Linked DNA regions of Anolis sagrei. The protein of the gene in region 1 interacts with the protein of each later gene in a pairwise test. Links are inferred from orthologs where the notes say so. Each region holds a gene or a part of one and is shown on either strand. Other genes may lie near its edges. The genes, in order: EHHADH, TPP2, NECAB2 and MID1.

Region 1 (7,891 bases):
GGCAGTTGATACAAATGAACTCAATACGCTAAAACTTTCCATCAGCTCTGAACTCTCTCTGGTAATGTACAGCTAAAGGACAGAAGCACTTGAATGAACTCAAATAAATATGAATTTGAATTCCCTTTATATGTGGATTTTTAAAATGTATATTGCATTTGATGTAAAGATAAAGGTTTCCCCTTGACATTAAGTCTAGTAGTGTTCAACTCGGGGGGGGGGGGTACTCTAAGCCGAAGAGCCGGCTTTGTCAGTAGACCCTTCAACGTCATGTAGCCAGCATGTTTGGAGGCTCTAGCAGGGGAGCGCATATATTGTATACCCGGGACCAAAGACTGGAGACCTCGGTACACTCCTTCTATACCTGGGACATCATCCTCTTCCACCGAGTGCATAGCTTCAGGAGGGATGCACATGGAGCAGTGAGGGAGGAAGGGGACACCCGCCTAGCCAGCCAGATCAGTCGAATCAACCCTGACAATCAGTGGGGTGACAGATGTTGCAGCCAGATTGCCCTTACATCCGGGATGACTGCATGGAGCATCATTACCTTCACATCTGAGAGGTACCTATTGATCTACCCACATCTGAATGTTTTTGAACTGGTAGGTTGACAGAGGCTAACAACAGGAGCTCATCTTGTCCTGTGGATTCAAACCACTGACCTTCCAGTCAGCAAGTTCTGCAGCTTTGCGGTTTAACCCGCTGCACTACTGTGGCCCCTTGCATTTGATAGGCAACGTGAATTCCATGTTTATGAATGGCCACTTTTTGAACGTAACCATTGGTACTTTGGCCCTTTAATTCCCTCTCCAACCTCACTGTCAATCATTCCACCGCCAATGAAGTATACCTGAAATTCTGGATAAAACTCCATGCATGTAATGACTTGTAGGTAATGGCATAATACATCTGTTAGCTCTTTAGCAATCACTCAGCTCAAAGACCATAGAAAGATTTCACATCCAAAATGCTTTGTTATATAAATTTTTTTAAAAAAACTTTTAATAATAAATGAGAATCCTATATTTTATGCCCAATCTACTAGTATCCAAAGTCTGGGGGAAATGATATCTTTGTGCTTACATATTAACTTGTCCTCAACCCATGACCAACTTTTCTCCTGCCATTACAACATTACTGATTACAACAAAAATTAATCAAGATTCTTTTGGTTTACGGGGATTTTTCAGATGATGATTTACTACTTCTTCAGTGGTGAGGAATATTCTTCCAGAAGTAATCCAAGCTATAATCTGCTTTGCTTATATGTGGTTTCAAGATGGGTCATGGCTACTTTTCCCTGCTGGGTGAAACAGTGACTTCATGGGCCCATCTACACTGTCAAATTAATGCAGTTTGACACCCCTTTATCTGCCATGGCAGAGTCCCCGGTGGTGCAGTGGGTTAAACACTTGTGCTGGCAGGACTGAAAACTGACAGGTTGCAGGTTCGAATCCGGGGAGAGCGCGGATGAGCTCCCTCTATCAGCTTCAGCTCCTCATGCGGGGACATGAGAGAAGCCTCCCAGAAGGATGATAAAACATCAAAACATCCAGGCATCCCCTGAGCAACATCCTTGCAGATGGCCAATTCTCTCACACCAGAAGCGAATTGCAGTTTCTCAAGTCACTCCTGACACGACAAAAAAATAAAAATAAATCTGCCATGGCTCAATGCTATGGAATTTGAATAGCTGTCCATTTAATGAGGCACCAGCACTCTTTGGTAGAGAAAACGAAAGGTCTTGTAAAACTAAATTGAGCCACGGTAGGTAAAGTGGTGTCAAACCGCATTAATTCTCTCGTGTAGTGGCATCCAACAATAGGGCTTCATTAAGTAGAATTAATGCATTTTGACCACTTTCACTGCTGTGGCTCAATGCTACTAAAAGATTACATCTGTAGTTTGGTGAGGCACCAGCACTCTAAAGACCTGGTGAAACCAGAACTCCCAGGATTCAATAACACTGAGTTATGGCAGTTAAAGTAGTACCAAACTGCATTGATTCAGATAGGTTCTCCCTGGGTCAATTATGCAAGAGGTTTGGACTGTGTTCCAGAGCAAGGACTTACTTTGGAGCAAGGACTTACTTTGGAGAAACCATGCATGGCTGCATGGTTTCTCCAAAGTAGCAAGATATACAATCACAGCATTCACAATCCATATGCACTGTTTGCTAGAATCCTGCTTTTGTTGTGCTACAGACAGACATCTACATCAGGCTTGGGCAAACCTTGGACCTCCAGGTGTTTTGGACTTCAGCTCCCACAATTCCTACCAGCTGGTAGGAATTGTGGGAGTTGAAGTCCAAAACACTTGGAGGGACAAAGTTTGCTAAAGGCTGATCTACGCTGTAGAATGCAGTTAGGCACCACTTTAATTACCACAACTCAATGCTTTGGAATCATGGATGTTGTAATTTCACCAGACCTTGCGCCTTCTTTGGCCAAAAGTGTGCTGATACATCACCAAACTACATATCCCATGGTAACAGCATTGAGACATGGCAATTAAAAGTACTGCCAGATGGCATTAAGTCTACAGTATAGATGCACCCTACTATCACGCTGATCTAGGGGTTGATTTACACTGTGATTTACAAGTCACTTTACCTGCCATGGCTGTGGAATCCTGGGAATTGTAGTTTCGTGCAGCAGCACTACCCTTTGGCAGAGAAAGCTACAGAGCTTGTCAAACTGCCATGGTTTGATAGTATGGAATCATAAGAGTTGAAGTTTTGCAAGGTTTTTCGCCTTCTCTGCCAGAATGCAAGTGCTTTACCAAGCTACAATTCCCAGAATCCCATAGCATGGGTCTTTCTCTGGCGACCCTTACCTGAGCGTGTTGAGGGGCGGGTTGCAGACCCTGATCACGCGCACGCCTCGCAGGACCTGAGCCATCGTCGCGCGACCAGCCTCGGACGCCCCAGGAGAACGCTAGACTTGATTGACGGGCAGCGAGAAGGCGAGGGAGGAGGCGGGGCCTCTTGGAAGCGGAAGACCCGGATGGGCAGGCGCGCAAATGGGTGGAGGAGGCTTTCTGCTGGAGCCCAGACTCTCGGTTGAATTTTAACCAGGATGAAGGCACCCACCCTGCAGACAGAGCCTTGGAGTGGCTGGAATCACGTAAAAGGAGATACACCCGAAATCAGTGGTTCTCAACCTTCCTAATGCCACGACCCCTTAATTCAGTTCCTCATGTTGTGGTGACCCCCAACCATAACATTATTTTCGTTGCTACTTCACAACTGTCATTGTGCTACTGTTATGAATCGTCATGTAAATATCTGATATGCAGGATGTATTTTCATTCACTGGACCAAATTTGGCACAAATATCCGATTCGCCAAAATTTGAATACTGGTGGGGTTGGAGTGGGGATTGATTTTGTCATTTGGAAGTTGGCGTTGCTGGGATTTATAGTTCACTTACAATCAACCTACAATTCTGAACTCCACCAACGATGGAATTGAACCAAACTTAGCACACAGAACCCCCATGACCAACAGAAAATACTTGATGGGCATTGACCTTGAGTTTTGGAGTTGTAGTTCACCTATATCCAGAGAGCACTGTGGGTTCAAACAATGATAGATCTGGACCGAATTTCGCATTAATACTCAATATGCCCAAATGTGAACACTAGTGGAATTTGGGGGAAATAGACTTGATATTTGGGAGTTGTAGTTGCTGGGATTTATAGTTCACTTACAATCAAAGAGCATTCTGAACCCCCCAACAATCGAATAGGGCCAAACTTCCCATATAGAACCCCCATGCCTTGAAGGGACTCACTGGCATGAGCCTTCCTCCAGCCTCACATGCTCTCCATGCCTGTACATGTGCACCACACTGCCATGTGTGGAGCATGCCTGCTCTCCGCTCTTTGCTTGGAGTCTTAGAAACAGCCCTTCCCTTGGCTGAGAGGCCAGCCAATCATAGAAGACGAGAGCTTTTGGTGGGAGGATTCTCTGTCTGTTTCCAAAAAAGAAGAGAAGATCAGGTGGAGAGATCCTCAGCCTTCTCTGCCAAAGGGGTTCTATAAATCCACAAAGGGGGATTTATAGTTCACTTACAATCAAAGAGCATTCTGAACCCCACCAACAATAGAATTGGGCCAAACTTCCCACACAGAACCCCCAGGACCAACAGAAAATACTGTGTATTCTGATGGTCTTTGGTGACCCCACTGACACTCCCTCATGACCCCCCAGGGGTTCCGACCCTCAGATTGAGAAACACTGCCCTAAATCCTATTATTTTCTACACAGAGCCAGCTCTCACTGTTATTAGGAGGCATCTGCCCTGTAGAATTAATGCAGTTTGACAGCACTTTGACTGTCATGGCGCTCTTTTAGTGAAAGAGGCGAAGGACCTTATAAAAATGCATAGCACTGCACGATTGCAGTTATTAAACTGCAAGAGGAACTGTGTTCTTATCATACATCAAGAGAACCACTGATTGAATAGGGAAGCTGTTGAAAAAACACAACCAACAAACCATCTACAGACCCACTAAGAAAATCCAACAAATGCTACATTCAGCAAAGGACAAGAGATATCCTCTCACCTCTGCAGGAGTCTACAGTATACCATGCAGTTCTGGACAAATCTATATAGGGACCACCAAAAGCAATGCCAAATACGCATCAATAATAATATAACAGAACTTTATTTATATATCGCCCTATCTCCCTTAGGGGACTCAGAGCGGTTTCCACATATGCAAAATAATACAAAAACGTGCAATATGAAACAAAAACATAGGCATAAACTGTTAACACAGCGTATACATTAAAATCAATTTAAAAATCACTCTCTTCTTCATGCAAGGTAAGCTGCCAGGAGAACAGATTTCAATAAGGGGCCTGGACTATTTGGAACGGGCTGGGTCAAGGCTAGTGCAAGGAGAAGAGAAAAATGGGGCCAGCTAAATGCTACAGTACAAGGATCAGTCTCAGCAATGGCCCTACTAGGGAACTGGGGCCACTCAATTCCAGGGCCAATTAAAGGTCTATAATAAAAGGTATTGGCTGGAAGAAAAGGTGCCCTCAAATGACAGGGAACTGGGGAATGGATGTGGTACAAGGCCAAGTCCTAACTGTTGGACCAAGGGCTTGAGACTTGTCATTATTGAAGGCCTGATGAAACCACCAAGTCTTCAAGTTCTTACGGGATGGGGCCAGCCTTATCTCCTTGGGGAGGGCAATCCAGAGGTAGGGGGCCACCACCGAGAAGGCCCCTTCCCTCGTCCCCACCAACCGGATCAAGGAACATGAAACGCACTGCAGACTACTTCAACCAGAGAAGTCAGCCATAGCAGAGCGTTTGATGAACCAACCTGGACATCCTATGAGAACACAGAAATGCTGGACCATTGTAATAACTACCATATGAGACTACACAGAGAAGCTATTGAAATCCACAAGCATGTGGACAATTTCAACAGAAAGGAGGAAACCATGAAAATGAACAAAATCTGGCTACTAGTATTAAAAAAAACTCTAAAATTATAACAGTAAATAAATAACAAAACTCAAACACAGGAGAACTCCAGACAAGAAACAATCAGGAACACCTAATCACCTCTCAACAAAGGATTTTCTCAAAAAAAAAAAAAAGGATTTTCTCAGGCAGTAACAAGCCACACCTAAAAACTGCCAGGCCATTAAATGTTAATCATGGTGGCCAATGGAAACATTCCACCTACCTCCAACAGACAAGAGTTCTTTCTCCCACCCTGAACATTCCACAGATATATAAACCCTATTTTTCTAGTTTCCAACAGACCTCACAATCTCCGAGGATGCCTGCCACAGGTGCAGGCAAAATGTCAGGAGAGAATGCTTCTGGAACATGGCCATACAGCCTGGAAAACACATGACAATCCTGCATTAATTCTACTGTGTAGATGCATCCTCAGGAAAAAAGAAACTGCACAATCACTTCTCTATTCCATGCATCTTCACTATAGAATGAATGCAGTTTGGCATTGCTTTAACAGTCAGTTTCAATGCTATGGGGTCATGGGACTTCTAGTTTTACAATGTCTTTAGTTTGTTTTTGTTTTTTTGCCAAATGGTGCTGGTGCCTCACTAAACTACAACTCCCAGGACTGTATAACACGAAGCCATGGCAATTCAAGTGGTATCAAGCTGCATTAATTCTTCAATGTAGATGCACCCTAAGAAAACTTTATGACATTCATGAAGTTCACCATAAAGCAGCATGTGATTGCACATACACATATTGGCATTTAAAATGGTCTCTGATGCACACACTCCCAAAAAGAAAATAGCACAAATGTTGTACAAAAGTGGCACACACTGATTTAAATGCAGACATAACAATTTAAACAGAACCAAAGCAGAATTTTTAATGGAAAGACCATGATTCATGTTCCTGCCACATCAGCTCCTACTTGCTGAGGAGTTCTTTTTTATAAATGATTTCAAATTATTTTTTATTTTCCTCAATCTGATAGTTCAACTGCTTGTTCTTTCTGGGTGATGTTACTAACACTATGTAACAAAATTTGAAAAAAAAATATGTTCCTGGTTTGAAACTGTTATTTCCTGCTTAATTGTGTTTTACTTACTTCGAAAGTAGTTGTTATACTCCAGAAACTTCATTTTTGTGGCTGTCATTTTTAACCTTTCAATGTGCCATTTTTAACCTTTTGTGCAGACCGCAAAAACAAAGCTTTTCCAGTTTAATAAACTTTACCCATGTTTTTATGATAGCACCAATGAGGAAAATGACATTTATAACCCAGGAACAAAAATCATGTTACATAGTGTAATCAATTACATACAATATTGAGACGGTTTTAAACAGGATTTTAACATTGAGTTAAGTGATTCTAATGTTTATGTATATGTATATTTATGTCCCGGCATTGAATGTTTGCCATTTATATGTTGTTCTCCGCCCTGAATTCCCTTTGGAGTGAGAAGGGCAGAATAGAAATGTTTTAAATAAATAAATAAATAAATATCTGGTTTTTTAAATAGAAGAAAATGGGTGTGTCTGTGTGTAATTTTACTCAGCTCTGTGCTTAGCATTAGCCAGCTGTTCAGCTATGAAGTAAACAAGGACATCAGATTATAGATAAAGCACACTGTGTTTTCAAGGGACAGTGTGTGTGTTGGTTCAGGCTAGGACTGACAAAAGATGTGACTGACCTCAATTTATATGAGTGCAAGCTACAAATCCCACCATGGCACTATCTTTTCATAGTGGTAGGATTGTGTGCTTCTCTGAGGCTATGCTGACAGTAGCAGTGCTGCCGATAGGGTCTTTCGTGTTAGACAGCCTTTTGCTGCAGAGCCAGACAAAATGTGCCAAACAGCTGCTGGGCAACAGTAGGTGGATTTCTGTGACACTGGTGGACAATCTCTCAAAGACAACAGTAGTAGCATCAGATCTAATGCTTGTTTGTACAGCACTGAGGGAGGCATGGTAAATCCCTTTCAAATGTCTTTTATCATGAAACCCCTATGATGAGACAATCCAAAATGAAAAGAGATAGTACAAAAGATGGAACGTTCAGGTTGGAAGGCATTCAGCTACCGGGGAAGAACAAAAGACAAGGACATGTAGAGCTGTGGCTAATGATGTGACTGCACTCAAGCTGGAAGAACATTCAGCTGTTGTTATGCCCAGGTATGAAAGGAGCCGTGGAACACATATTAGACAGCCCTACCCCCATAATTCTTGGTGTCTTGTCTAGTTTATTTGAGGTTTTTTTTTACCTGTTCCTTGGGTTACTTGGGGCACTGATTCAGAAAATTGTATTAGATGGACCACATCAGCTCTAGTTTCTTAGATATGGCTATGTTTGTCTATGGATGAGCAGATGAAGAGTGATATCCCGTTTCCCCGAAAAT
Region 2 (7,923 bases), about 110 Mb from region 1:
TACACACTATATACAGTAATGTCAGTCCATTTACAGGCAGAAATACTTTTCTTTAATAGCACATCTAATGTATTATCCACCCTTATAAGTGGCAAACATTATAATCATCACTGCTGCCTGAACACTGACTTCACAAAAGCAAACATCCTTTGGTGTCATGCTCCCACATATTAAAAAATGTATACTCCTTCCTCCTCAGGGTGTAAACAAGGTGTTCCCTTGATCTAATTCTGATTAGCAGCTAACACTACAAAAAATCCTCATTCATAATACACAGTAAGCATAACTATAGTTAGAGGATATGACCCAATCCCTACTAAGAAAGAACTGGTTTGCTTTTGCTCACTGAAATGAAATCACATAGATTTGTGAAAGTCTATAAAATATCCTCCCTCTCCAAGATGCCATTTAAAAATAGAAGGAAAAATGAACAGATTGTTGTGGAATGATTTTCTTTAGGAAGATGAATAAAGTGTTTACGAGAGGGTGGCATTCCTACAACTAAAAAATGATACATTTTTAAATCTGCTCCAAAACAAAATTTCTGGTCATTCTTCAAGTATCTTAATGCAACCACAAGCTCTTCCACTGCAACAAACCCAAGTGATTTCATTTTGCCATTAAAAAAGACATTTGTTTTCTACCATTCTACAGGCTTTTGCAGACACCACTATCAGTAGCAGAATCCAAGCTAGTTATACATGAACTAGCATACTGAATCCTTTGGTCCAAAAGCACTCACTTGCTGAAAGTAAGCAAAGAAAACATGGCTTTCAGGATATGTTCAGCACAGGAATGAACAAAATGAAGCCTATAGAACCAGAGGAAGCCAAATGTCAATGCAGTCCTCTGCCAACACCTGCCAAAAGGTTAATTGAGGTGATCAGATATTTGGGGCAAAAGTATTTCAAGTTCGAAAAGTATTCTTCTATTGCAGAACTTTCCAAACTATGTGTTGGTTGTAGTGTGTAAATGTGTTGCACGAAAATAATGAGAAACCTCTGTGTTTATGTGAAATAAAAATAAATATGAGATATACATTTTGTTATTCCAAATTATGTATGTACCTGTATCTCTTATCAGGAATTGGTTTAAACTCCGGTTTGATAGTAAAACTGAATTACTGTGTCACAAAATGATATGTGTTTAAAACGTGTGTCACCAACATGAAATATTTGGAAACCTCTATCCTATCGGCTCTGGATGTCATGCTAAATCTATGATTTGCTTACATATGCACAATAAACCAGGTTCCTGCAGAACCTTTATTTCAATTACAACAATAATTCTGTTAGTGCCTCCAAACATAATGTGCTACCTCAACAATTCAGTGGTATTGTATCCAAAGAAACAATTTCAGAGGACACTACAAAACAAGACAATTCACGTTATGCTTGCAAGCTTCCCACTACAGACATCATGAGCATGCTTTCTCTGGGATTCCAAAATACTCTGAGATGCAAAATCATCCACATGGGAAGCTGAAATAGTGACACCTTTGTTTCCTGATGGTTCAGTGTACACAAGCTTTGTTCCATGCACTAAATTATTACAAATGTAGCATATACAATTACCCCCAGGCTATGTGTTTAAACATAACATGCATAAATGAATGTTATGTTTGGATCACATCCCAGAAATCTTTCATCATGTAGATGGGAATAAATACAGGTAACCCAAAATAATAATAATGTTTTTGTGTCAGGAACAACTTAGGAAATTGCAAGGCGCTTCTGGTGTGAGAGATTTTTCCTTCTGCAAGGATGTTGCTCAGGGGACACCCGGATATTTCTCTATTTACTGCATTTATATTCTCACTCCTGGGGGGGGGGGGGTTCAAAGCCGTGTACAAAAAGTATTGGCAAGATTCAATGCCAATATATATATATTTGATGTTTTACCATTCTGTGGGAGGCTTCTCTTGTGTCCCTGCACGGGGAGCTAGAGCTGACAGACAGGTGCTCACCCCACTCCCTGGATTCAAACCGCCGATCTTTCGGTCAGCAGTCCTGCCAGCACAAGGGTTTAACCCATTGTGCCACCGGGAGATCCATATAACAACAACAACAACAACAACAATAATCTGAAATCACATATTAATAATACATTTTCCTTGTTATGCGGTTCTTTTCATGGCTTGAGACAGGGTACAGCATGGTGAAAACTCAGATAAAATGCAAAACCCAGATAAAAGTGCATAGATTTAAATATACACAGATCAAGGACAGACACCGATACTAATAAAATATAAGGTCAAATCTACACTTCTGGTGGATTTCCCAAGCATTTCAGAAAACCCTCAATCTGTGTAAGAAACAGGATGCTGGGCTTGAAAGGCCTTTGGCTGGATTCAGCAGGGCTTTCCCTGTGGTTGCGGCTCGTTTCTACAAACGACTAAATTCTGACCATTTCAGGCACTGGATGCTGATGAGCGCGATTACTCCTCTGAGGGCCTAAGAAAATTCCCTACTGTACTTTCCTCTAAACAGAGGCCCTCAGAAGTCATCATAAATCCCTCCTGATCCCAAACTTCTTCCCTCAGACAAGCCAAAAGCAGCCCCACCAACAGGTCACGCCCGCCCCGCTTACCTGCATCCCCGGGGCGCCGGGGTCTACCCCCGTGTCCAAAATGGCCACTAGCACCCCCCGCCCGTCATGCTCCGGGTAGCGGGAGAGGAAGGCGGCCGCGCCGGTCTCCTTTTTGGGAAGAAGCCCCTGGAAGGGGAACGGCTCTTCCACGGCCCCCGCCGCCATGTTGGGTGAGGAGAAAACGCGCGAGGCGGGGGAGGGAGGGAGGGAGGGGGGGGTCAGGTGGGCCACCAGGCACGCACGCACGCGACACGAGGAAGGCGTCGCGCGGACCCAGGTGACGTCACGGCTCTGGCAAACCCAGACCGCGGCTCCTCCGGGAAGGAAGAGAGTTTCAGGCTTCTTTTTCCCGGCCGGCGCATGCGCGCGCTGCTCAGCCAATGGGAATCCACCACCCCGAAGAGAGCGCGGCGAGCTGCTTTACTGGTTACAACAGATGCCGAAGTCGGAAGGGAGATTTTGCGGAGAGCAGAGCTGACGCCCGGAAGGAAGCAGCCAATCAGGTTGAAGCGCGAGAAGAGAACTGGAATTTGATTGGTCCTGGCTCAGACCAATGAGGAAATAAGTACCGCGTTTCTTAAAGGGGCCGGCAAGTCCGAGATCTTCGACTACGCCACCCAAGCTGTTTCTCCCTCAAACAACGCGAGATTCCTCTGTTGGCTCAGGTTCCGTTTGGGATCCATAGCGCTCCCAAGGCCCTTTTCACAGGAACATACATATTTATTATACTAATCGTGTAATATACCGGTGGGAGAACCAAGAATGGGCCAGGGTATGGCGTATGCGATTACTAAATAAAAATATGTCCATAATAATTAAGGAAAACTATTACAAAACGGTATGGATATGGTACTTGATCCCGATTAGATTAAATCAGATAGATAAAAATGCTTAAATCAGTACTGGAGAGGCTGTCAGGAAATAGGCTCATATTTTCATATATAGTGATCCTGTAAAATTATACAACAATTTTGGAAAAGGGTATTTAAATAAATAAGAATAAGAATACAAATATGGAGGATGCACCAAAATCAGCATTATTACTTAAACATGGCAATACATGTAGAGAGTGGTAGAGTAATATAGTACAATACAATCATATGTAATAATATAATATTACTAATAATATTGCAGCAGAGATAAAGCGGGATATAAATAAATAAGGTCAATAACCAGCACCAAAAAAAGGGAAGGGGAAAAAAAAGAGCAAATGTCCTGGAAGTGTTGTGCACCTCCCTAGCTTCTCCAGTGTTATTTTATTATATGTTTCTGATCCAAGTATTGGTAAACTATAGGATTCAATGTTATCCATAGTTTCATCAGATACACAGTATGTACTGTGTACATACATACTGCTGAAATTGTAAAGATAGGTTTCGAGAATCCTGAACTATGGTGTAGATAATCATCAGATTGTATTCAGTGTGTTTGTAGAATGAAACATGTGTATTTCTGTGTGAATTGCTGAACATATGTCTACTTTATAGCAGTTGTAAGTGTGTCCTACAATCTGCATGGAGTACAGAGTTTTTATGTCTCAAGAGTTGGCATCAGAAATTCTGAGAAAAATATTTTCTGCATGAGGAACCATGGGTGCCTCATGAAAGCACAAAGAATTCAAAGTGTGAATTAAAAACTCACAGAAGAAGACAGTGGAGGACAATATTGCAGCTAATATGCTTATCAGAGCAGTCCCCCAATAACAGCCTTGAAGCTAGAAATGGAAGAATGCCTTCCTGCACAGCATGATGTAACAGAAGATCTTGAGTTGATATCTGTGGATATTGGACACTCCAGTCTACTTGGTTTTTTGTTCTGTGTTTACCCTTTCTATTTCTCTTCTCTCTTTTTTCCTGACATATAGGGAACTCTGCTGTAGCACAATATCCAATTTTGGGCACTGTACATTTAGAACAGGCAAATTGGGCCCTTACAGATGCTGCTGGACTGCAACTCTCAGGTTGGTGATGCTGGCTAGGGTCAATGGAGGCTACAGTATACTGTGCTCATCCCTGACTGACAGATAAAGCTGAATTGGAACATAAGGAAGGAAGAACATTTTCACATATGGACAGCAGAACAAAAAGAAGTCCTATGTGAAAAGTTTGAAGAACTCGTCATGTTTATCCTGATGAAGGGGAATGGGAATGATAACAGTCTTGTTACTGCAGAACTTTGCAACTTCATGATTTAGGCAACAGCTCCCAGAATTGCAAGCTATTAAAATCCAGGACCTGAAGTTATTCACAAAATCATTTTTGCCACAGACTAGAGTAAATGTCTTCAAATTATAGGAGGACAGATTTCAATTGAACATCAGGAAAAAACCTCTTCATGATAAGAGCTGTTCAAAAACAAAGCCGATCATCTGTAGGAAGGACAGACTCTCCTTCATTAGATAGTCTTTCATGCAGGAACTAGGCCTCTTCCACCTCCATATAAAATCCAGATTATCTGTTTTGAACTGGATTATATGCCAGTGTAAACTCATACAATCCAGTTCAAAGCAGATAATGTGGATTATCCGCTTTGATAATCTGGATTATATGGCAGTGTAGAAGGAGTCCTAGTGAGTCATCTCTTGGATTTCCTCTAGGAGAAGCAGTGTCAGATGATGCTATGCAAGCTGTCTCCCTCTTTGACACTATAAACATCTTCACATGTTATTTTGAAGACATCTTGATTGTAGGTACACCCATTTTGATAATTGTGAGGATCTAGTTCTAGTTCATTTTTCCTAAGCCTCATACAGAATACCAAGGAACCACGCTTTTGACCTGCCCTTTCCACTTCCCCACCAAATGTTGATATGAAAGGCATCTAAAAGTGGTGTCAATGTGTTTAAGTGAACATAATTACTAAGTCTTACATGTTAAACAAGGTTCCCAGTCTAATAGAGCTCTGTAATTACAGTCAGCAGAATGCAGTAGCTGCAGATCGGGCCAAGCAAGACATTTGATATGGGATTGTCTAGCCTTGTCAGCAGGTCAAGCTTTTAATGACTGTTGAGGAAGGATTCGGTGCTTTTTAATTGTGTGTTGGATTGCTTTTAATTCAATGTATTTATTTTATTTGTTACGGAAATTTCTATGCTGCCTTTCTCCAGTATGAACCCAAAGCGGCTCACATTATATCAGACATACAAATAATTAAAAACCATAACTATACAAATATTAGAGGTTCACTAATTCTTTAAAACTTTCCTCATTATTAAACATTAAAAGTAAATTTTAGCCTAAAATTCCCATTCTTTTGAATTCATTTTTACTGGCTTCAGTTGCTTCGAAGAGGAAAGTCTTCATGTCTTTCTTATATCATGATGGTGGGAACCAATCTAATTTCCTCTGGCAGTGAGTTCCACAACTTAGAAGCCGCCCCCAAGAATGTCCCTTCTCTAGTGATTTTTAAGTGGATGTTGGCCAGGGACTGTGTAAAAATCAGGGTCTCCTTACTAGACCTTATTTATTTATTTATTATTTGAACTTATATGCCGCCACTCCCCTGGGGCTCAGAGCGGCTTACAAGAACAGGCTAAAATTGAACACCATTTAAAAACAATTTAAAAACAATTTAGAGGTCTACTGGCCCGTATACGGGGACACGGACGCCCTATACAGGCTGGTAGTCATGCAGGGCTTTATAGATTAAAACCGGCACCTTGAATTGGACCCAGAAACAAATCAGGAGCCAATGGAGCTGTTTCAACAGGTGTGCTTCCTGGAATCAACTTCCATAAGTAACCTGGTAAGTAACACTTTTCAAGGGCAGTCCCATGTAGAGCACATTACAGTAGTCCAAATGTACCACAGTGACCAAGTCATATTTCTCCATGAATGGGTGCAGTTGGCACACAAGTTTTAGTTGTGCAAAGGCAGTCCTGGTTACCTTGCCACCTGGGCTTCCAGATTTAAGGCAGAATCCAGAATCATCCCCAAACCTGGGATTTCAGGGGGAGTGTAACCCCATCCAGCTCAAGTTGTAACCCTATTTCTGGATCAATCTTACGCAAGGCCAGCAGTACCTCCATCTTATCTGGAATAAGCATCAATTTGTTTACCCTCATCCAGTCCATTACCAACCTCAAGCATTGGTTCAGGTGTGGAACGACTTCCTTGGCATCTGTTGGAAAGGAGTAATAGAGATTAGCATTATCCACGTATGGATGATACTGAATTCCAAACCTCTGGATGATCTCTCCCAGTGGTTTCATGTAGATGTTAAACAACATTGGGGATAAAGATGAGCCCTGCGGGACCACACAGTCCACAGACCATGGGGCTGAGCAGGACCTCCCCACCCGACACCACCTTCTGGCGGTGGCCCAAAAGGAAAGACGAACCACTGCAACACTGTGCCTCCCAGTCCCATCCTCGCAAGTCACTCCAGAAGGATATCATGGTTGATAGTATTGAAAGCCGCTGAGAGATCCAGAAGGACTGGCAGGGTCACACTCCCCCTGTCCAGCTCTCTGCTCTCAAGGCAACTCAAGGCAACTAAAGCTATTTCCATCACATGTCCCAGCCTGAATCCAGATTGAAATGGATCTAGAAAATCAGCTTTATCCAAAAATCTTTGGAGTTGTTTGGCCACCACCCATTCCAGGTTCTTGGTAATGAATGGTAAATAAGTTACTGGTATATAGTTGTCCAAAATAGTAGGAATGGGATAGTTTTTATATATTATAGTTTGTGTTTTACTCTTTAAATGTTTTGTGTTTAAAACTTGTATGTTGCCATAGGTTCCAGTTTGAGGAGATAGTTCATATAAATGCATAAAATCTACCAGTAAATGCCATGATTTCCTACATGGAGGTGAGCTGTCTTGAACATAAAACATAATTATTTCAGTCAAATGACAAACTGTTTTTTTTTGTGGGCAGTGGGGGTGGGGGTGGAGTCAGCACATAAACAAAAGGGGCAGATAACATGCCTTAAAATAATCGGATACTCTCTGAACATGGAAATCAAACTAGACATTGGTATCTGCAAGTGACAACTGGTGGTCTTAATGGTGAAGTTTAGATTATGTGTATAATGATTTTTTTAAAGTAGTTCACTCAACATAGAAACAAATCAAGGAGAACAAGTAAGCTAGTAGATAAATAAGGTTTGAACTCTGTTTCCTGTTTTGGTGCTCTCCCAACTGAGATGGGTAAAAGATAGGGTTCTCAGTATTCCTGACCAAGCCCAGATTGTCATCCAAGTGTTCAATCTCAGTTCTGCATATTTTAAGAGACATTTTTTCCCAACACACCCTTCAACTGCCTTGAGTTCTTTTAAAACATCTTAGGTTGCACACAGTGGAATCTTAAGAATTATTAGTCATAAATTAAAT
Region 3 (7,037 bases), on another chromosome or scaffold:
AGTGACTTGCAGCATGCATGCAAGAAAGCAAAACAATTAGTTAAATTATCCTCCCTGCATAAAGCGGTACCTAAATTTCCTACTTGACAGATGCAATTGTGTTTTGGGCTGCATAGGTCAACAGCAAGCTAGACTATTAATGGTTGGGAGCTCACTCCGACCCGGGCTGGCTTCAAACTCATGACCTCTCGGTCAGTAGTGGTTTAATGCAGTGGGCTACCAACTTGATACTGTTGGGGTTGTGTCCTCTTTATGGTCCCAAAATTCCTGGGGTCTCTATCCAGTCAAACACTAGGAACAAGGAGATTGTTCAATAGGTTTATTTGGCCAAAACTTCCTGCCGGGTGGAGCAACAAAAGAAAAGTGTCACACCAAAACTAAGACGCAACTTAGCTTTATAGTCAAAACTTTGAGCGTACTTTGAGCATGTGCACACAAGCTTTTTCTCTCTGAATTGGCCTCATATTTTTCCTTCCTTTGGTGCCTCTCTTATCAATGTTGTTTTGGTGTGTTATTAGGTTGAACTTTTCCCTAGGTTTGAACTCTTGATTTCTCTACATTTCTCACTCCTTATTGCTCCACAGCATGTGTGAGATTTTGTCTGAACTTTATTTTGGCTGGCTGTTTTCTATTTTTCCTAGCTCTCTAACCCCTTCGATACCAACCCAAATGACAACAATTCCTTTTAATGGTATTTGTTGTTGCTCAGTGTAAGTTCCGAGCCTTGCCATGTTCCAGGGGTCATGTAAGCTACACAAATGTGGCTGCCACCATTGTAATCCTTCTGATGCTAGGGAACGACTAATCCCACTTCGGGCCAACCTGGATAAGCCATTGGTTGTTGTTGTTCATTCGTTCAGTCGTCTCCGACTCTTCGTGACCTCATGGACCAGCCCACGCCAGAGCTCCCTGTCGGCCGTCACCACCCCCAGCTCCTTCAAGGTCAGTCCAGTCACTTCAAGGATGCCATCCATCTATCTTGCCCTTGGTCGGCCCCTCTTCCTTTTGCCTTCCACTTTCCCCAGCATCATTGTCTTCTCTAGGCTTTGCTATCTCCTCATGATGTGCCCGAAGTACTTCAACTTTGTCTCTAGTCTCCTTCCCTCCAATGAGCAGCCGGGCTTTCTTTCCTGGAGGATGGACTGGTTGGATCTTCTCGCAGTCCAAGGCACTCTCAGAACTTTCCTCCAGCACCACAGCTCAAAAGCATCGATCTTCCTTCGCTCAGCCTTCCCTAAGGTCCAGCTCTTACATCCGTAGGTGACTACAGGGAATACCATGGCTTTGACTAGGCAATGGATCTTTGTTGCCAGTCTGATGTCTCTAGTCTTTACTATTTGCTTTCCTCCCAAGAAGGAAGCGTCTTCTGATTTCCTGGCCACAGTCTGCATCTGCAGTCATCTTTGCGCCTAGAAATACAAAGTCTGTCACGGCCTCCACATTTTCTCCCTCTATTTCCCACTTGTCAATCATTCTTGTTGCCATAATCTTGGTTTTTTTTATGTTTAGCTGCAACCCGGCTTTTGCGCTTTCTTCTTTCACCTTGATTAGAAGGCTTCTCAGCTCCTCCTCGCTTTCAGCCATCAGAGTGGTGTCATCTGCATATCTGAGGTTGTTAATGTTTCAAGGCTGGGGTGTTAATTTTCACCCCAGCCTTGCATTCCTCAAGCCCCGCACATCCTCGCATGATGTGTTCTGCATACAAGTTAAAAAGGTTGGGTGAGAGTATGCAGCCTTGCCGGACGCCTTTCCCAATCTTGAGCCAGTCTGTTGTTCCGTGGTCAGTTCTGACTGTTGCTACTTGGTCCTTGTACAGATTCCTCAGGAGAGAGGGAAGGGGGCTTGGGATGCCCATCCCACCAAGAACTTGCCACAGTTTATTATGATCCACACAGTCAAAGGCTTTAGAGTAGTCAATGAAGCAGAAGTATATGTTTTTCTGAAACTCCCTGCCTTTCTCCATTCTCCAGCATCCGGATATTGGCAATCTGGTCTCTCGTTCCTCTGCCTTTTCTAAACCCAGCTTGAACATCTGGCAACTCTCTCTCCATGTCTTGCTGGAGTCTTCCTTGCAGGATCTTGAGCATTACCTTACAGGCATGAGAAATAAGGGCCACTGTATGGAAGTTTGAGCACTCTTTCGCATTTCCCTTTTTTGGTATGGGGATATAAGTTGATTTTTTCTAGTCTGATGGCCATTCTTGTGAGCCATTGGTAGTCTTGCGTTATGTATCCGAATGGTTGCTATGCCTTCCATTGGTTGCTAAACAGGTGAACATGTCCCAGTCTGCTGTTCATTAGCAAATATGAGTAAATGGTGACATTTGGCTCCAAAGGCACCGCTTGCCTTTGCCTGCGGGAAACCTTTAATTAGTTGAAGCTCCCGGCTGAGTGCGGGCGAAGGGAGGGGAACGTGGGCCCAAAGAGAGAGAGAAAGTGGCTTTCTTTGTTATTTGTGCAGAGTTGCTACGAGTCCTGATTTTTCACTGTATTCACTTGGTTGTTTCCAGGTGCAAGGGGTGCTTTCGAACACTGTTTTCCAGCAGGTGGGTAGAATAAGCCACTAAGCAGCCACTTATCATCAGATATTTAGGGCGTATTTATTTCCCATTTCTCTTGTACGAAGCTAAGAGAGTGTAAGAGAAGGGTCCTCAAACTTTTTAAGCCGTTGAGGGCCTGGAGTATAGTTCGAAAAACAAATAAATATGGGGGATCAAGTGGATTCTGTGGTTTGATTTTGATACAATACTTGGCAAAGTTGAAACAAATGCAGTTTTGGAGTGGACTTTGACATGTGCACACTAATGATTTGTGAGAGAGCCGTTCAGCAGTGGAACTCTCTGCCCCGGAGTGTGGTGGAGGCTCCTTCTTTGGAAGTTTTTAAACAGAGGATGGATGGCCATCTGTCAGGGGTGATTTGAATGCAACATTCCTGCTTCTTGGCAGAATGGGTTGGACTGGATGGCCCATGAGGTCTCTTCCAACTCTTTGATTCTGTGATTCTATGAATGAAGGGGTTTCTCAGCCCCCTTATGAAACTACAACTGTCAGGATTGTATAGCCATGGGGAGAGGGAGAAATATAATAATAATAATAATAATAATAATAATCTTCCTGTCGAACTATAATTCCCAGAACTACAGTAGCACAGGGCAGTCAGAGTGGATTCATTCTGAAAGCATCCCTCTGTTGAACTATAACTCCCAGAACTATAATAGCACAGGGCAGTTGGAGTGGCATCAAACTGCATTCATTCTGGAAGCAACCCTCTGTCGAACTATAATTCCCAGAACTACAATAGCACAGGGCAGTTGGTGTGGTGTCAAACTGCATACATTCTGGAAGCATCCCCCTGTCGAACTATAACTCCCAGGAATACAATAGCACAAAGCAGTTGGAGTAGTGTTGAACTGCATTCACTATACAGCCTAGAAGCATCCCTTTGTCGAACTATAACTCCCAGGAGCACAGGGCAGGTGGAGTGGTGTCAAACTGTATTCATTCTCTAGCCTAGAAGTATCCCCTTGTCGAACTACAACTCCCAGGATTACAATAGCACAAAGCAGTTGGAGTAGCATCAAACTGCAATGACCAGTTGGAGTGGTGTCAAACTGCCTTCACTCTACAGCCTAGAAGCATCTCCTTGTCGAACTACAACTCCCAGGAGCACAGGGCAGGTAGAGTAGTATCAAACTGTATTCATTCTCCAGCCTAGAAGCATCCCTTTGTCGAACTACAACTCCCAGGATCTCAACAACACTGAGCAGTCGGAGTGGCATCAAACTGCATTCACTCTACAGCCTAGAAGCACCTTCTTGAACTACAAGAGCCAATGCCATATCAGTTAAAGTGGTGTCAAACCGCATTCCCTCTCCGACAGTGTAGATGCCCCCTCCCCTCCCTCTGGGCCCCTCCTTCCCTTTCCACGCGGGGCGGCGGGTGGGGTTTCTCCTGCCTGCCTGCTTCCCTCCCTCCTCCCTCCCCTCTTCCCTCTTCCTCTCTTTCTTTCCGAGGCGGGCGAGGGAAGGAGGGAAGGGAGGAAGGAGGGAGGGAGGGAGGATCGGAGGGGAAACTCCTCCAGGATGAAGGCTCCCGTCAAAGATGTGTGAGCAGGCTGCGCGCTATTGCCGGGCGAGCCTCCACAAGCTGCTGCGCAAAGAGGAGCGGGCGCTGCCGGTCTCCCCGGGCCCGGACGGGCTGCTCCGCTGGATCGTGGCCAAGATGAGCGACAAGAGCCTCCTGCCCGAGAGGGAGCTGCCCGCCGACGACGAAGAAGAGGACGAGGAAGAGGACCAAGAAGGGGGTCAGAGAAGCCGGCGGGGAGCCGCCTCGGCCGCCCACGCCGAGATGCCCGAGCTGCGGAAAGGCGCCTCTGTCATCTTGGATGTGAGTCCCTTCTGCTTGCGAACGGGAGCGACCCGGCAAACCCCAACCTCCCCCTTTTGACTACAGGCAATAACATCCCTTTGGACATCCCTTCATTGGCTAGAGTTTGGGGCAAAGTTCCCCAGCTCTTCCCCTTCTGCCCAGTTGGAACGGGAGGGACCTGGCAAACCCCAACCACCTCTCTTTGGAGATCTCTTCATTGGCTAGAGTTTGAGGCTTAGTTCCCCAGCTCTTCCCCTTCTGCCCAGTTGGAACGGGAGGGACCTGGCAAACCCCAACCACCTCTCTTTGGAGATCTCTTCATTGGCTAGAGTTTGGGGCAAAGTTCCCCAGCTCTTCCCCTTCTGCCCAGTTGGAACGGGAGGGACCTGGCAAACCCCAACCACCTCTCTTTGGAGATCTCTTCATTGGCTAGAGTTTGAGGCTTAGTTCCCCAGCTCTTCCCCTTCTGCCCAGTTGGAACGGAAGGAACCTGGCAAACCCCAACAACCTCTCTTTGGAGATCCCTTCATTGGCTAGAGTTTGGGGAAGAGTTCCCCGGCTCCTTCTGCCCAAACAGGAGGGACCCGGCAAACCCCAACCACCTCCCTTTAGAGATCTCGTCAATGGCTAGAGTTTGAGGCATATTTTCCCAGCTCTTTTCCTTCTGCCCAGTTGGAACGGGAGGGACCTGGCAAACCCCAACCACCTCTCTTTGGAGATCTCTTCATTGGCTAGAGTTTGAGGCTTAGTTCCCCAGCTCTTCCCCTTCTGCCCAGTTGGAACGAAAGGAACCTGGCAAACCCCAACAACCTCTCTTTGGAGATCCCTTCATTGGCTAGAGTTGGGGGCCAAGTTCCCCATCTCTTCCCCTTTTGCCCAGTTGGAACGGGAGGGACCTGGCAAACCCCAACCATCTCCCTTTGGACATCCCTTCATTGGCTAGAGTTTGGGGCCAAGTTCCCCTGCTCCTCTCCTTCTGCCCAGGTGGAACGGGAGGGACCTGGCAAACCCTGAACACCTCTCTTTGGAGATCTCTTCATTGGCTAGAGTTTGGGGACAAGTTCCCCAGATCCTCTCCTTCTGCCCAGTTAGAACGGGAGAGACCCAGCAAACCCCAATCACCTCCCTTTGGAGATCTCTTCATTGGCTAGAGTTTGGGGCAAAGTTCCCCAGCTCTTCTCTTCTGCCCAGTTGGAACGGGAGGAACCTGGCAAACCCCAACCACTCCCTTTTGGCTACAGGCAATAACATCACTTTGGAGATCCCTTCAGTGGCTAGAGTTTGGGGCAAAGTTTCCCAGCTCTTCTCATTCTGCCCAGTTGGAACGGGAGGAATCTGGCAAACCCCAACTGCCCCCTTTTGGCTACAGACAATAATATCCCTTTGGAGATCTCTTCACTTCACTGACTAGAGTTCCCCAGCTCATCTCCTTCTGCCCAGTTGGAACGGGAGGGACCTGGCAAACCCCCTTTTGGCTACAGACAATAACATCCCTTTGGAGATCCCTTCACTGGCTAGAGTTTGAAGCAAAGTTCCCCATCGCTTCTCCTTCTGCCCAGGTGGAACAGGAGAGATCCGGCAAACCCCAACCACCTCCCTTTAGAGATCTCTTCATTGACTAGAGTTTGAGGCATAGTTTCCCAGCTCTTCTCCTTCTGCTCAGTTGGAACGGGAGGGACCTGGCAAACCCCAACTGCCCCCTTTTGGCTACAGGCAATGCCATCCCTTCAGAGATCCCTTCATTGGCTGGAGTTTGGGGACAAGTTCCCCAGCTCCTCTCCTTCTGCCCAGGTGGAACGGGAGCGACCCGGCAAACCCCAAACACCTCCCTTTGGAGATCTCTTCATTGGCTAGAGTTTGGGGCAAAGTTCCCCAGCTCTTCCCCTTCTGCCCAGTTCGAACGGGAGGAACCTGGCAAACCCCAACCGCCTCCTTTTGGCTACAGACAATACCATCCCTTTGGAGATCCTTTGGGACAGCTCAGCTGTCCAATTTAAGGAGGGAAAGGCATGGATCTGAATTGGGAAGTCCGGGGGATGGAAAAGGGCTCCCATAGTCTCCCTTCCCTGGGTAAGAGTTTGGGTCAAAGCTCCTGGAAATGTCCCCCGGCTCTTCTCCTTCTGTCCAGGGGAAAGGGAAGCGACCTGGCAAAACCCAATCGCCTCTCTTTGAGCTGCAGCCGTCCCTTTGGAGACCTTTCCAGACAGCTCAGCTATCCAGTTTCAGGAAAGAAAGGTTTGGATTGCAAATTGGGAAGTCCAGAGGAAGAGAAAGGGATTCCATAGTCTTCCTTCCCTGTCTAGAGTTTGGGGCAAAGCTCCCCATCTCTTCTCCTTCTGCCCAGGAGGAATGAGAGCTATCTGGCAAAACCCAACCGCCTCCTTTTGGCTACAATGTCATCTCTTGGAGATCCTTTTGGGATAGTTCAGCTGTCCAATTTCAGGAAGGAAAGGCTTAGATCTGAATTGGGAAGTCCAGAGGATGGCAAAGGGATCCCATAGTCTCCCTCCCTGGCTAAGAGTTTGGGGCAAAGCTCCTAGCACTCCTCCTTCTGCCTAGAGAGACCCACAAGACTCAACCAGCTCTCCTTGGCTACAGATATCCCTTAGGAGAACCTTTTGTGATGGCTCGGCTATCCAGTGTCCATAGGGAAAGGCTTGGATATGAGT
Region 4 (7,498 bases), about 130 Mb from region 1:
AAAAATGCAAGCAATGGATGGCCCGAAATCAGATTTCTTTCTGCTCTAGTTCATAGAAAGAATTGGGAGTTTTTAATCTATAAACAAGTTAGGCCACAACTTAATTTTTCAAGGTTTCTATGTTCTGGGTGGATGGTGGGATGTGGCAGAAATAAAATATGTGCATATGATATTGTCTGAGAGGCATCCCAGTGCATTTGGCACAACTTGTTTATTATATATGATAGATGTAAGGAAGAAGCTAATTCAGTGTATCTTCTGACTAAAGACTTCTGACATTTTGAAGTGTGTGGTTTTGGGACTGGATTCTTCCTTTAATTACAATGAGGAACAAACACCGGGAATCTGTATGAAGTACAAAACAAAGCTTTATCTACTGTCCTATTTTTTAAAATGTACTATCTAATCTTTATGTAAGCATTTCCTCTCCTGCTGTGGCTTCTTTTGGCAAGGTATTCCATCACTGCCTAGTTGTTCTGATTAGGAAGTTTCTCCATATCTAATCTAAGCTGACTTGTCTTTAATGCAGAGTAATGTGTTTGTACAGATAATACATTCCCTAGTCAAGCTTCAACTTCCTATTCTATTGTTTCCCTTATTCAATATTTTTACTGGCATTGATTTTTTTATTTTTTTCTTCTTCCAGAAGCTCAACCTTGGCTCCTACTGTACCATGAAAGCCAAACATTAATATCTGGAGGGGAAGAGGAAGTTATAACTAACTATAGCATCCATAAAAATGCACTAAAGATAAAGTTTCTGTGCAGAACATAATAATATGATGATCGTAACATCTTGTTGTTCACTTGGGAGGGAAAGAAATGCCATAAGAGAAAAGTTATGGATTAATATAACTTTCTGGTCCTTTTAGGTCACCACACGTCAGAAAATATATCTGTCACTAGTGCAGAACTGGATGCTGAATCTCCTGACTCCTGGGTGAATGTCGCAGTGAAAAATGTACGTTGATCTCCAAACTTCCTCAAAGTTCTTTTTCTCCCAAAATGTTTACTCACTTACCTGTTCTGGCTGCTCTGTCTCACGTATATTTCACCCTATGCCCTTTCCTTACCTGATGACCATGATTATTCTATCATACAGAGTAGACACAGAGTTGGATTCAAAAGGTGATGCCTTGCCTGCAGGTTCAGGGTGGCAAAAGTAAATTTTCAAAATTGAAGCCAATAAGACAGCCAACTAGAATGAATATATATATATATATATATATATATATATATATATATATATATATGGTAAGCACATATGGAAAGCTGGGCCAAAACTTACAAAATGTATATTAACAGGGATAAATATAGTGCCTTTAAGCAGGAAAATGAAGCATAAGGATATAGGATAGGTAACACCTGACTTGACAGGTGTACATGAGAAAATCATCTAGGGGCTAACCATGTGTCAACAATGTATAAAAAAGCCAGTGCAATTCTGGGCTGCATCAAAGAGGGTATAGTGTTCCAACTCAGAAACGGTGTAGCCAAACTAGCTTGCTTTGGTCAAATCTCGCATAAAATATTGTTTCCAGTTGTGGCTATCCCAGACAATCTGGATAGTAATAGGTCTAGACAAGATTAGGAGGAACATCTTGGCAGGAAGAGCACTGGAATGGATTGTCTTGGGGTGGAAAGGAGATTTCCTTCAGCAGAGATCTTTAAACAAAGGTTGAATGGCTGTCTTTTAGTACTCCTATATGACAAGGTATTGGATTAGATAACCCCTGCAGTCCCTTGCAATTCCAGTTCTACGTCTCTCTTTTATGTGGTAGGTGTCTTTTTGGCCTAGATTTGTGAAATATGGTTGGTGGTCAGTGCGGTCAATAAATCAATTCTTGATTTTACTGTCAAACTCAAACGATGTACTTGTTGGCCCTCCATACCTACAGATTCTGCACCCATGAATTAAACCATTCTTGGCTTGAAAATATCTCCCCCCCCCCACTCTCCCCAAAAATATTCTGAAAAACAAACCTTGATTTTACCATTTTATATAAGGGACAACTTCCATTAAACATCATGGCATACGGTGGGACCTGAGCATCCTCAAATTTTAATATTCACTCAGGGTCTTGGAAGCAAACCCCAGAGGGTACAAAGGGCTGCAACTACATAAAAACAGGAAAATGATGAAAACACTTTTTAAAAATGTAGTTTAAAAATCACATACTTAAAGCAATCTCAAATTCCACTTTGGTTTTAAGGACCACAGGCTGTATGATCAGGTAGTTCTGACTGGACATTGCAAACTCAGGAAATATTGGACTGGCCTGACTTCTCTTTGGGGGGAGTCCAACAGTTAGGTTTAAAAACTGAGAAAGACCCATCTTTGTATTCAACTGACTTGCTTCTTTGGATTTCAACAGGGCCTCATCTAAAGAGTTATGTTCTTGTAGACAATGTTATAGACCTGGTCATTTTAATGCCAGTCATTTAGGATTTTGCAGTCAAAGGCAGCAGAAGGCACCATGGTACAATGGTCTGAGCACTGGATTTTACGTTCTAGGAGACCAAGGTTCAAATCCTTGCTTTACTATGGCAATCCACTGGATAATGGACATGTCACACTCTCTTGGACTCAGAGGAACACAAAAGAAAACTCTCTCTGACCAAATCTTGTCAAGAAAAGCCCACGATAGAGTTGCCATCAGAAATAACACAACAACAAAGTCAAATCCAGCACATTAAATTAACCCTGGAAACAGATTACATAACTATGAAGTTTATATCAGACTAGTGATACATGATCTTTAAAATGTGCACATGACAAAAGTCTGGTTACCACTAGCTGTAAGCCCTAAACACATTCCAAGTGCATTCTCATGTACAGTCCTTTATAGTAGTCTAATCAAGAGACAATAAAGGTATGAACCAGATCAGCCCTCCTATAGAAGAGCACAGCTCGTACCCCACCAAACTTGAGCAAGAGCATACATAACACCCACCTGATCTTCCTGAAGCAATGGAAGTAGCTGTACATCACATGTGTCAAACTTAAAGTCCATGGACCAAATCTGGCCTGTCACATCATTTCATGTGGCCCCTGAGGTCCGGACAATCCCTATGCTGGTGCTGCCCTCTTTGCCAAGCATTGCCTGCATTTCAAAGGCAGCAGGGACCTAGTTGTGAAGGAGCGTGTTTCTGGCCAGAGATCATTTCCCTCCTCACAATGGTTGGTGTCCTAGACACCGCAGGGGAATAGGCCTGGGCCCGGGCAACCTTTCTCCCAAGGAGCTAGGCTGGGATTTACTGCTTGAAAAAATGGTGTGCCTATTTCTGCCCCCCCCCCCCCCAGCTGAGCCACAATACAATTGCCCTTGCTCTGTGGCACAAATTAGGAAGGAGATTTTGAAGAAAGGCAGCTCCCCCTATTTTGATCTTCTTTACAGAGGGTCTGAGCATTATATGATACATGAGGTTGTTTGAACCAACCTTTGCTATAGTGGCCTTTACATTTGGGAAGTATTTTAGGCTTTCAAAACCAGAGCAACATTTTATTTTCCTATTACTGTTATTTTTCATTTATTTATATAGCGCCATGTATTAGGATTTCTATGCCAGGGCAACATAGTTAAATTTATACAGTCTTAAAATTGAAAATAGCCCTTTGAAGGCAACCATGGGGCTGATGTCTCCCTCGGTGAAAAAAAATGACACCCCTACATAACAGTTTACAGTTATGTACAGTTATGTCACCTTCTCAACCTCTGAGGAAGCTTGCCATAGATGCAGGCGAAACGTCAGGAGAAATGCCTCTAGAACATGGCTCTATAGCCCGAAAAAACCCACAAGAACCTAGTGATTCCAGCCATGAAAGCCTTCGACAATACAATGACACCCCTGCTTTCCATTGCAGATGGGTGATAAGGATTATCCCAATACCCACCAATTTCCTCATTTTTGTAATGGCAAGAAGTTATTTTAGAAATTTGAATGTGGGACAAAGCAAAATTAAAAATTCTTAGATTCCTAGAACTCTCAATGTTGATAAAATCCACAAACCACAAAAAGAGTGATTGTGAAAAAAAGACTGAAGGCAAACATATGTTGCATCTCTCCTATTTCCAACCAAACTGACAATGATAATCAAGCAAGAGTTCCTACCCGACTGTGGTGAAAGTTTGATACCTGAATACATAGTCTTTGTGTGCTTAATGCATATATCAAACTTTATGCCCTGTATTCTGTACTAACTAGCAGGCGAATTAGTGAAATCATTTGGCATTCCTTGAGTTAACAGCAAATCGTTTTAAGTTACTTCTTTTTTTTCTATCCTCCATTTCAAGAATGCAGTTTACAGTTATGTATATAAGGAAACCTGTTAGGCTTAAATCAGGCTGTCGGGTGTTTAAGCTGCCTGGAGAGACATGTAAGCAGCCCACACCCTCCAGTGTGGGAGTGTCTGGTAGGCTGGACAGAGCAAAGCTTCTTGAATCAAAGTGACTACAAAACCGTTCAGCTGTTCCTCACAGAAACAACGCAGACTAGCACAACACACACACAAAGCCCCGACTTATCTTGGAGCAGCTATCGATTTGGTTTTTACCCCAGAACTTTCAGCAAAAGAGAATCCACTCTCAGAAAAAGAAATAATGGAGGAGACGGTAAGATACTATACTTTTGAGCTTCGTCTACTAGCTTTGTTTGAAATATTTAATTTTGCCTGGGTCTTTGCTTTCAGCTGTGATTTCCCATTCCTAAACTGGCATGTGTGTGTTATAAATAACTTCTTACAGTGTATGGTGGGCAGTATGTAAGCACCAGCTGCGTGGATATCGGTTGTTGGAGCTTTCCTGACTCTTCATGTGCTTCCAATTATATTGCCTTTTTTTTTCAAAAGTGACAGCAAACTTTCTTACCTCAGATACATTAGAGATGCATCTTGAAAGGAGGATGGAATGAGTTAGAAATTTAAGAACAAGCGTAGCAGTCTTTGTTACATGAGTATGTTGTTTAATTTAGAATTCCAAGACAGCTTTACTTATATCTGTTGCTTAAAAAAACTGTGGTGACAAACATATCCTTGTATGCTGTGTTTAATGAATAGCATTGTTTTCGACTTTACATGATAGAGAAGACTGGTTGCAACTATTCAACTTTTAAAAGCCAGCAGACATAGAAAATTGAGAATTGTGGGAAGAAAGATATTTAAGAAGTTTTATTTTGGAACTCCAACTGCTATACAGATTTCTTTTTGAAAACATGTACAAAGAAATTTAAGAAGTTTAATGAGTTTTTTCCTTTGTGAAGTTTCATTTCCAGTCCTGAAATTTTGTTTGCAGTCTTTGGTTCCTTGAAATCAATGGGAAAAGATGATATCTATAAGTATATGTATATACTTATATTGTTGAAAAAGCAAGCTAGGTTATGATATTAGTAATATAATGGAGCTGTGAGGAGAGGCAAATAAGAAATAATAATAAGACTAATAATAGGTTTTAATGTCTATATGTTTTTAACTTTATGGTTTTTAATTCATTTTTTTTACTTAGTTGTATATCTGTTTTATGCACCATTGAATTTTTGCCTACTTGTAAGCTGCTCTGAATCCCCTTCAGGGTGAGAAGGGTGCGGTATAAATATAGTAAATAAATAAATAAATAGGACCAAAATAAATAGAAATTTGGAAACGAACACTAGTTTATAATTTAAACAAGTTATCTAATTCCTGTGAATGTGAGAGTGTGTGCATGTATGTATATAAACACAATGACATATGCAGCAGTCCTCTGCACATCTATCTGGGAATAGGTCTTATTCAATTTGGTGAGCTTTCTAACTAGGCGTGCACATGATTGCAATGTTATTTGTCCTATAAAATAAATGAAATGATATTTTTATGTCGGTATGTTCTGAATGTTATTAATTTTTGTACGATATAATCAAAAATGTATTTTCAGTGTGAAATGTATATTGTAACTACTGTTGAGCATATCAGGCATGTAGCCGGGGGGGGGGGGGGGGCTTGAGGGGCTTCAGCCCCCCCCCCCCCCAAATTCTCATGGTGGTTTGCGAAAAGGCCTTACTGGTGCATTATTTAAACTGTTATGTTTATTCATATCATGATCTGATCACCATACTCAATATATCCCATATGCATGGGGGTATTGGGGTAATGATACAAAAGATTTGCTAGGGTAGACCCTCTTTCACTCAGACTCAGTCTCCCCCCCCCCCCGAAACTAACCCCCCCCCCGAAACTCCCCCTGAAAAACACTCCCCCCCCCCCCCGAATCGAAATCCTGGCTACAGGCCTGGAGCATATAATTTAATACTGCATTCAGCCATTTCTGGTTGTTCAAATATCAAGTTTGTCAAATGTCAGTTAGTATAATGCAGTTTCTAATCAAAATAGAATCTGAGTGCTTGAAGTCGACAAAGTGCACATCACCTCTTTTCTCAGTTTTCATCTTAATTATTATTGTGCTTGAAAGCTAGCAAATGAAACATTGAATGATGATTTCTTACTGAAAAGGCTTAAAAGCATCCTGCATACATATCCAACTAGGATTGTTACATGGCTCAGATTTGGTTTGGTCCTTATGCCAGCATAGCTCCACTGTTGTAGACTCCGCTGGTGGTGAATCAATGGTAGGAGGACCTCATCACATTAAAAGGATGAATCCACTTTAAATCTGGTTTCTGTCTCCTCTAAAATTCTGGGGTTTGTAGTTTAGTGAGGCTTTTAAAGGCTCCTCCCTAAACTACAAACCCCAGAATTCTGCAGGAGGCAGCAACCGGATTTAAAGTGGGTTCATTCTCAATGAATGGAGCAGTTGAGAAGGGAGGCAGGCAAATTTTGTGAGGTCTCAGGAGAAGAAGGTTGCTCATTCCCAGCAGGCTATTCACCAATACAAGTCTTCTTAGGAGAAGGAAGAGTTGTCCTTGGAATTAATAGTCCCTTGGCATAGTCAATTTCTCATGTCAGTCTTCTCTAAATTTTGAACTCCAAGGACATCTACAAAGGCTAGCATAGAATAATATAAACAACTTGAAGTTGACAGCCTTCCTCTCCTCATATAATGATAATAATAAAGCCACATAAGAGCCTTTCTTCTTTCATAGCTGATGCAAAGCCTAGGTAAAAGTACACTGTGCAAGTATAACAGACCATTTTTTTGACATTGTGAAAAAACAGGATTTTTTTCACAGTCACCCTAGATATTTCTGAGCGCCTCAATATCTTGGAAAATTCAGCTCCACAGAAAACAAAGAAAAGGAAAAAAAGGTGTTGAATACTTCATTGAAAGGAAAATCTAATCTATGTGAGTATAACTTCATATAGACAAGCTGGAAAATGCTATAATAAATTTTCTTTAGGGTTGCCACAAGTCAGAAATGAGCAGTTGGTTGCAGTATCGCCACCATGGTCACACTGGATCATTCAAGGCAGTGTATCTAGAGCCAGCACTATTTTCAGGAAAATATCATTGGGCACACTGCTCCTTCCGTTTCATAAATTTAGGAGATGGTATCTAACCTGTCATGGA

The links.
Region 2: the proteins of EHHADH (region 1) and TPP2 interact in binary tests that used the Homo sapiens proteins (3 or more experiments, as listed by UniProt). The two-hybrid records come from large-scale screens. The link is inferred for Anolis sagrei from reciprocal best matches to the Homo sapiens genes EHHADH and TPP2.
Region 3: the proteins of EHHADH (region 1) and NECAB2 interact in binary tests that used the Homo sapiens proteins (3 or more experiments, as listed by UniProt). The two-hybrid records come from large-scale screens. The link is inferred for Anolis sagrei from reciprocal best matches to the Homo sapiens genes EHHADH and NECAB2.
Region 4: the proteins of EHHADH (region 1) and MID1 interact in binary tests that used the Homo sapiens proteins (3 or more experiments, as listed by UniProt). The two-hybrid records come from large-scale screens. The link is inferred for Anolis sagrei from reciprocal best matches to the Homo sapiens genes EHHADH and MID1.

The regions. Positions count from the first base shown.
Region 1 is NC_090023.1:222,668,627-222,676,517, forward strand, and holds the start of EHHADH (peroxisomal bifunctional enzyme), read right to left. Parts: upstream 3,088-7,891; 5' UTR 2,904-3,087; coding exon 2,839-2,903; intron 1-2,838. UniProt on the Homo sapiens protein: Peroxisomal trifunctional enzyme possessing 2-enoyl-CoA hydratase, 3-hydroxyacyl-CoA dehydrogenase, and delta 3, delta 2-enoyl-CoA isomerase activities. Catalyzes two of the four reactions of the long chain fatty acids peroxisomal beta-oxidation pathway.
Region 2 is NC_090023.1:113,554,501-113,562,423, forward strand, and holds the start of TPP2 (tripeptidyl-peptidase 2), read right to left. Parts: upstream 3,026-7,923; 5' UTR 2,755-3,025; coding exon 2,590-2,754; intron 1-2,589. UniProt on the Homo sapiens protein: Cytosolic tripeptidyl-peptidase that releases N-terminal tripeptides from polypeptides and is a component of the proteolytic cascade acting downstream of the 26S proteasome in the ubiquitin-proteasome pathway.
Region 3 is NC_090028.1:8,410,338-8,417,374, reverse strand, and holds the start of NECAB2 (N-terminal EF-hand calcium-binding protein 2), read left to right. Parts: upstream 1-3,985; 5' UTR 3,986-4,101; coding exon 4,102-4,386; intron 4,387-7,037. UniProt on the Homo sapiens protein: May act as a signaling scaffold protein that senses intracellular calcium.
Region 4 is NC_090023.1:92,978,599-92,986,096, forward strand, and holds the start of MID1 (E3 ubiquitin-protein ligase Midline-1), read left to right. Parts: upstream 1-4,426; 5' UTR 4,427-4,612; intron 4,613-7,498. UniProt on the Homo sapiens protein: Has E3 ubiquitin ligase activity towards IGBP1, promoting its monoubiquitination, which results in deprotection of the catalytic subunit of protein phosphatase PP2A, and its subsequent degradation by polyubiquitination.